2 linked regions of the Xenopus tropicalis genome follow. The protein of the gene in region 2 purifies or fractionates together with the protein of the main gene of each other region. This does not show direct contact. Links are inferred from orthologs where the notes say so. Each region holds a gene or a part of one and is shown on either strand. Other genes may lie near its edges.

Region 1 (3,520 bases), on a different chromosome or scaffold from region 2:
CCCCGAATCAGTCGTACTGGCTGATACATTATATAGCTTTAAGAAGGGGCTGGATGGATTCTTAGCAAGTGAGGGAATACACGGTTATGGGAGATAGCTCTTAGTACAAGTTGATCCAGGGACTGGTCCGATTGCCATCTTGGAGTCAGGAAGGAATTTTTTCCCCTCTGAGGCAAATTAGAGAGGTTTCAGATGGGGTTTTTTGCCTTCCTCTGGATCAACTTGTAGTTAGGCAGGTTAGGTATAGGCATTATGGTTGAACTTGATGGACGTATGTCTTTTTTCAACCCAACTTACTATGTTACTATGTTACATGCTTCTGGTTAAGGTTGGGTCATCTTTGAGGTGAAGGAAAAATATCAGTGCGACTGGCTCTTCCAGGGGGATTAGATTAAAATGGACCATCAGAACAGGCTTAGTTGGGAGTGAGGAGTATATCAGGAGTAAATGGCGATTACATTTTGTTGCTGCCGACAATTATTTGTAATGAACTTAATTTTGAAAAAAATCTTTTTATTCTTCTTAACTGTAAACTTTGCTCAGTAGAAAGCCTAAGATACACAACACTTTTACTGGTGGCAGTTATCTTTTAACAGTATACAAGTGCCAACTTGATTTTAAATGCCCAAATACATATAGCAAGGTACATGTTTATGCCCCAGAACATGTAGCAGTGCCAGCTTGATGTCAAATGACTCCAGATATAAAGCATTATGTATAATAAGTGCCAACCTCATGTTTAATGAGAAAAGTGTTTTAGTACTTTTTGCTTCCCTGTATACAGCTCACCTTTCCACCCTCTTCCAAGAATCTGACACCTATCACTGGCAGCAAATTTACAGCAGCCCTTCGATCATCCAGTGTGGCAGTCTTGGTAACTGCTGCTCAGATTGCAGGACTATTTCTAAACCAATGGGATCCTGCACCGGGATCTCGCTCCCAGTGGGTTCAGCCTAGTGCTGGGGCTATTTTTTATTTTTTTTTCAAGAAGCCCCCATACCACCTTGTTTTGGGATTGATGTATAAAGGCTTATAACAACTAAACTATCTAATATAACTGTCATGGTGTTATTGATGTACCACAGTTCAGCCAGAAAATCCCCCTCTATCTTTAAAGCAGAAGGAAAGGTAAAATCATTGGAGGGGTTCTAAAATGTTAGGCACACCCCCAGTGATTGTAATCGCTTGCCTTATACCCCGGAGTGGTGCACCTATTAGAAGAAGAAAGAGGATCACTCTCACAACTACCCAGGGCTGGGGTATAAGGTAAGCGATTACAATCACGGGGGGGGGGGGTGGTGCCTAACATTTTAGAACCCCTCCAATGATTGTACCTTTCCTTCTCCTTTAAAGAGATATGGACACCAGAAATGTAACTGTTTTTTTTTTTTATATATATCATAACCGTGTCTTTGCATGCCATTTATCATTTTGCCCTACAAGTATTTGCCCACTGCTTTTATATTATCTAATCCCCCATGTTCCTCTATGAGGGGGCTGCCTTATTTCTGCAGCAGGAGTTCGTTGGCACTAGAAGCTATAACTGACAGGCTGAGAAGGGACAGTCAGGTTTGCAAAACAGTCAGGTTAAGGGACTTCAAATAGCAATTATTAACAAAAGCGGCCCTATCAGTGAAAAATGATCAACATGACCTATAGGTAACTTTTTATGTACATTCATATTTTAAAAAGTAGTTTTTTTTTGTGTGTCAGTATCACTTTAATATATGACTGTAAAGATATTGTAACTATTGGATTTAGACTGGATTTTGGTTTATGTAATAAAACTACATTTTTTTTTCTCACACAATTTATTAAATGCATTGTTATTTGAGGAAATGGGGAGACAACTAGTGGGGACCATATTACTGCATTAATGGATTAAAAACTTTACAACTGGGGGGGGGCGGGGGGTTGTTGAACAAGGATTATGACCTGTATGTTTTACTTTGTTTATTTTGCATGAAACTATTTAGATGCAGACATACCTAATTCTACAGATTTGATATTTGTAAAAAACTATTTCCTAACTCTGTTAGACTCGCATTGTAATGCAGTTCCTTCCTAAACCTGTTTCATAGTGAAGTGATATTGGGATTTGAAATCCTTCTGCTTTCCAGAGAATCTGTGCAACCACTGTTTCTTAAGCCCCGGAATTTATCACTTCACAATGAAACAAGGTAAAGGATGGGTTAGTAAATGTATCTGTAATGCATTTTGCCCCTTGGGGCTTTATCAACTGGATTAATTAGCCTACAACAGCTGCCCAGACGTTGACTAGATCTGCTTTAATTTTTGTTTTTTTTGGGGGTTTTTTTTTTTTTTTACTCGTAAGAGCAAACCCTGTCAAGGGTGGCTATATATAGAACTTTTATAAAATTTTGACCCACCTCCAGAATGTAATTCTAATCTGTTAGGTACACTGATTTTGAAAATAAATTGGCAGCAATATTTTTTTCTCAGTTTTGTGTGTAAATATTTAAAGTTGTGTCTGTTTATTCCTCAGGACTTTCAGATCTCACTGGCAGTGTCAATCTTATCTTGCACTACAACTTGGAACATTCCTTCAGTAAATTCTGTGGAAAAAAAATGAAAGAGAAACTCAGCAACTTTCTTCCAGATCTGCCAGGTAAAAAAAAAAGGGAGGTGGTATTAGCCTTTTTAACATGTTTTTACAGCTGACCATTGAAAAAGAAAACAAAAAGGCATTTAGAATAAGTAGCTTTGTGGAAGTTAAATGGTGATGAAGGGATAAAAGGAGATTTTTGCCTAGTTTATGTTAACAAAGCCTTGTTTGATGCAACATACACAGTTATAATTCTGTTTACAGTACAACTCACCCACTCCTGACTGGGCTAGCAGCTAATTTTATTGTTTCAATTACATTAAAAAACACATATTTATAAAGCCCCAACATGTTCCACAGAACTATACATTAAAGGGGGTGGTGTATACAGTGAACACACAGATTACATCAAAAAAAGAACAACCAAAGCTCAATACAAGAGTTAGTGGGCCCTGCTTAACATCAGCTATTGCATCCAGACCCACCTGATAGGGACACTGATGGCTCAGCCCAACCTAGTCATTATTTGACACAGGATATGGTACAACCCTCTGTATTAATACAATTTGGAGGCTCAAAACCCTATTCTTATTACTAGATTTAAAGTCACAGCCTATTCACAGTATCAATCCAAACTATAAAGGGAGTTTGCGAACAAACTTCATGTTGAATGAAATCTGATCTGTTGTTGGCTCGGCCCACTTTTTCTAACCTTGGACCACAGTTATATAGTAAGAGCCACTGTGCAAAGTTTTGTAATAGTGTCTGAATAGCAGCAAATTAAATTTCCCACTGAAAGTCAATGAGTCACATCTGATTGGCTGTTGGTGGCTCCGCCCACTTTTTAACCTGGAACTGCAGTTACCCAGTGACTAACTATGCAGAGTTTAGGGACCCTAGTATTAATAGTTAAAGAACGGCAGCAGTTTAAATTTAAACCGATAAAAGTCAATA
Region 2 (4,313 bases):
TGGTATTCCCTTATAACACAGGTATATTGGTAAATTGTGACGTACCTTTCTGATTACATCTTGTCCCCTGCAGTGTATTTACTGGGGTAAGTAGGAAACCTAATCTTGCCTGTGAAGATTATTTGCTTATAAACATATATTCAAATTTATCAGTCACCTCTTTGGCCATTCAGCATTGTTTCTAGTTAAAGAAATACTGTCGTCGGAAAATGTTTTTTTCAAAATGCATCAGTTAATAGAGCTTCCCCAGCAGAATCCTGCATTGAAATCTGTTTTTCGAAAAGACAAACTTTTTTTATATTTAATTTAAAAAATTTCACATGGGGCTAGCCATGATCTTCATTTCCCAGGGTGCCACAGCCATGTGACCTGTGCTCTGATAAACTTCATTTACACTTTACTGCTGAGCTACAAGTTGGAGTGATATCACCCCCCTCCCAGCAGAACAAAGGGAAGGTAGCAAGATAGCAGCTCCCATTAGATATCAGAATAGCACTCAATAGTAAAAAATCCAAGTCCGGTTTTGGACTCCTCCAGTTACATGGGAGTAGGAGAAACAACAGATTGCCGAAAACAGTTCTAATGTGTAGTGCTGGCTTTTTCTGAAGACTCAGACACAATGCACTGAGACTGCTGCCTACACACCAATATTACAACTAATATCCTGCTGGGCCCCGCTAGACCCTGCTGGCAGCCCACCTCTCTCCTTTATGGCCCCAACCCACCCAGCACTTTGCTGGGCCCTGGCAAATTCATGCTTCAGTGATAAGCCCTAGCCACCTGCTCACCTATCCTTCACCTTGTTGGGCCCCACCAGGCCTGGCGACTATGTCCCGAAACAAAACCATTTTCGTGTTGAATGGGAGTTTAAGTTAAAAATGGTCATGTGTTCCGCCATCTTTAATTTTTTATGCAGGCAAAACTTTCAGAGGTGGCGCAGGTAAGAGAATGAGGATCTAAGGAGCAATAGAAGAACAGATATAATTGTCTTTGACAGAACAGGGCAAGCAGCATGAAGGCATAAAGAAGAAAGGTTTATGACATGCCTGAGATAAATGTGCTGATACCTACTTGCTGCATTCATTTTACTGGCATGTGTAAAGTTAATACTTACATTATCAATTTCTGCAGGTCTAGAGTAAATGTGATCATAAATTATTTAACGCAGTGATCTTAAGTGTATGTCTGGGTAACTATAACTAAAGTGTGTGGCAAACGGCATAAAAATGTTGGCACCATGCTCAGTGCATTTTTAGACCCCAAAGTTTCAGATTTACCGCTAAAGCCCCATATTTTGTTGCAATATACTTGAGACATGATCTACAATGTTAGGTGATGGGTACCAGGTGCCCCAGTCCGACACCGCCTTTAACTAGTCATCCTGATCGTTAATGATCCATATAGAACTCAAACTCTATTGTTTGTAGCCACGAAAGGCAACCCCTTTCTGTACGCGCTTGATCTCTGTGGTCTCCGGTTCTCAACTTCCGGTTTCCGGTTTCTAAGTTGCTGTGTTGAGAGGATGCCGTACGCGAACCAGCCTACAGTGCGGATAACGGAGCTCACTGACGAGAATGTCAAGTTTATCGTGGAAAATACTGACTTGGCGTAAGAGACCTTTGACTGTTATGGCAGAATAATGGGTTTAATTGCTTTTTTCAGAACGATGTGTGGTGTGCATGTTGCATACTCGCTGCCCCAGACTGCCTGTCTCTCGAATCCCAATTCCTGAGACCCCCACATTTATAATGAGTGGTAAAGTGCGAGGGAATGGTTAGGTGGAAATAGAGTTTAGATTTTTATTTTTCCAACTTCGGCTAGGTATGATGTGGTACTTATTCACCATTGTGTCATGTATCTACTTTGTGTTATTCTGTTGTTTCTAATTATCCTAAAAGTGTAAATAATAGTGTGACTATATCACCATATGATGACGTATGTCATGCTGGGTACCACTGGTTTCCTGGACGCATCTCTTCTCTAAAGGGCAACTAAAGACATGATAGAGGTGTGACAAGTTGGCTGTTAGGCGTATGTAACCCACATATTGTACATCGCTGCAGAATATGTTGGCGCTTTATAAATAAATGTTAATGTAATGTAATCACTCCTTCTTTGGGTTCCACTATTTTCTGGTGCTTCTGTATGAAACTGTTTCATTTCCCTCAGGGTCACCTGTTTGCATGGATGCCCATTCTTCTTTTTAACCTTTTTTGATTGAGAATATTTATTTTTGGTAGTTCTTTTAACCCTTTTGGTTTCCCATGTGTTCAGGAGCAACTTCTAGTTCACCTTTTGTGTCTGTTAGTAGATTATATAGTGCCTGGCACCTAAAGGGTTCATTTAAAAAAAAAAAAACTGCATGTTTTCATACCAATATCGCTAACATACTTTGTAAAGGAGACATATTGGATAAATGGGAAAAACGCTAATTTTGTAGGCAATTATGAATAATATACGGTTCTGGTTTCTGTTTGTGCTAAAAATTAATCTTCTCTGTAAAAATGGCCCCTTTATTGGAGCTCCCTAGTGTGAAATGAAGAATGGGCGTGTCCTAACAGTACCTGCCAGAAGCACAGTAGGAGGGGGAGAGCCAATCACAGCCCTGCACTCAGACAAGCAAAGACAGGCTTCAGTTCCCTATCAGGTCAGCCTAGCTGCTGATTGGTTCCTATCCTACAGTGCAGTGTACGGAGGGCCGCCGGCTCCCCAGCTCATCCAGAGAATTCAGCCAGCAGGAAGTGGAACAGATGGGCGGGGCTAGTGGGGTTTTTGTGGAATTTCTCAATAAATCAGTCTGAAACACAACATTATTAAGCACAATCGTTCTATATCTAGAGGAGTATAATTCACTATAATTCATTCATAATTTTTATAGGATATGTCTCCTTTAAGAGGCCTCAAAGGCATAAAACTAAATTTAGAATTAGAAGAAATGGAACACTGCTTCCCATGTAAGGTAGTAATCATGCTGCACTTGATTTTTTATAGAACCATTTTTAGGAAATGTGTATTTGAGTGCTAAAAATATGCAGGTATTATTGCTATAAAATAATGAGTAAAAGGAAAAATTGTTACACTTGTTCCTCTGTATAAGCAGCCATTAATTATCTAATACTAATAAACCTTTTTCTATTTCAGAATTGCTAACTCGATCCGTAGGGTGTTCATAGCAGAAGTTCCTACTATAGGTATGTGCTCTTGTCCTGCATAAGAAAGGTTAAAGGGCCCTTGTTCAGCATGATTGCAATAAAGCTTACCTGAACAGGAAACACTCAGTGCAGTGTTTGTGAGCATTAATGTTTTATTACATTAGATCTCAAAACCCCTTGTAATGCATTCTGGTGCCCCTTACATTAAAATAACACATTTTTGTTGTTTATGTTTTATTTTACAGCTATAGATTGGGTGCAGATAGATGCAAATTCCTCTGTTCTTCACGATGAGTTCATAGCTCACAGAGTTGGTAAGTACTTAAAGATAAATTTACATTGAGTAGCAGGGCAATATTTCTAGTTAAGGCTACTTGCACTACTAGCAATACGTTGTCTAGCTTGTTTTGCCATTAGGGAGAAACTCCAGTTGCTATTGTACAGCGCTGCGGAATATGTTGGCGATAAGTGATACTGACAAGAAAAAACTACTTTTTAAATTATGAATCTACATAAAAAGTTACCAATAGGTCATGTTGATCAGTTTTTGTTGATAGGTTTGCTTTTATTAGCAATTGCTACTTAAACCTGACTGTTTTCCCAACCTGACTGTCCCTTCTCAGCCTGTCAGTTATAGCTTCTAATGCTAACGGACTCCTGCTGCACAAATATGGCCGCTCCCTCATAGAGGGACATGGGAGATCAGATAGGTAATGTAAAAGCATCTTGCAAATACTTTTATGGCAAAATTATAAAGCTCATGAAAAGACAGTGTTATGATAGATATAAAAAAGGTTTTTTTTTCTGGTGTCAGTATCTCTTTAATAATAATAATAGTGCAAGTGTGTTATTGTCTAATTCTGCATTTCTCTCTCTCTCTTTTTAGGATTGATCCCTTTGACCAGTGATGATATAGTAGATAAACTGCAGTACTCTAGGGTAAGTGCTTTGTATTTGAAACTAATTAAATCTATTTTAAATTAAAGAGGTTGTTCACCTTTCAAGGTATAGTGACACTTTCAGAGTTTTAACAGGAATGCGTTTCTAGACATCCATACGTTAATAACCTGTGTTGGTCTCTGGCAGGGCTTGGAGTTCAACAGCTTTGTGAGTGATGGAGTGCTTGGGGGTGGGACAAGTTTTTGATAAGATGAAGGACCA

What was found. The genes of interacting proteins can lie anywhere in the genome.
Region 1: the proteins of polr2c (region 2) and med19 purify together in Homo sapiens (affinity purification with mass spectrometry; 4 studies listed by BioGRID and IntAct, with this or other methods). This does not show direct contact. The link is inferred for Xenopus tropicalis from reciprocal best matches to the Homo sapiens genes POLR2C and MED19.

Annotation. Positions count from the first base shown.
Region 1 is NC_030683.2:55,860,804-55,864,323, forward strand, and holds part of med19 (mediator of RNA polymerase II transcription subunit 19), read left to right. Parts: intron 1-2,506; coding exon 2,507-2,629; intron 2,630-3,520. UniProt on the Homo sapiens protein: Component of the Mediator complex, a coactivator involved in the regulated transcription of nearly all RNA polymerase II-dependent genes.
Region 2 is NC_030680.2:76,284,848-76,289,160, reverse strand, and holds the start of polr2c (DNA-directed RNA polymerase II subunit RPB3), read left to right. Parts: upstream 1-1,497; 5' UTR 1,498-1,522; coding exon 1,523-1,608; intron 1,609-3,141; coding exon 3,142-3,191; intron 3,192-3,397; coding exon 3,398-3,466; intron 3,467-4,038; coding exon 4,039-4,091; intron 4,092-4,313. UniProt on the Homo sapiens protein: Core component of RNA polymerase II (Pol II), a DNA-dependent RNA polymerase which synthesizes mRNA precursors and many functional non-coding RNAs using the four ribonucleoside triphosphates as substrates.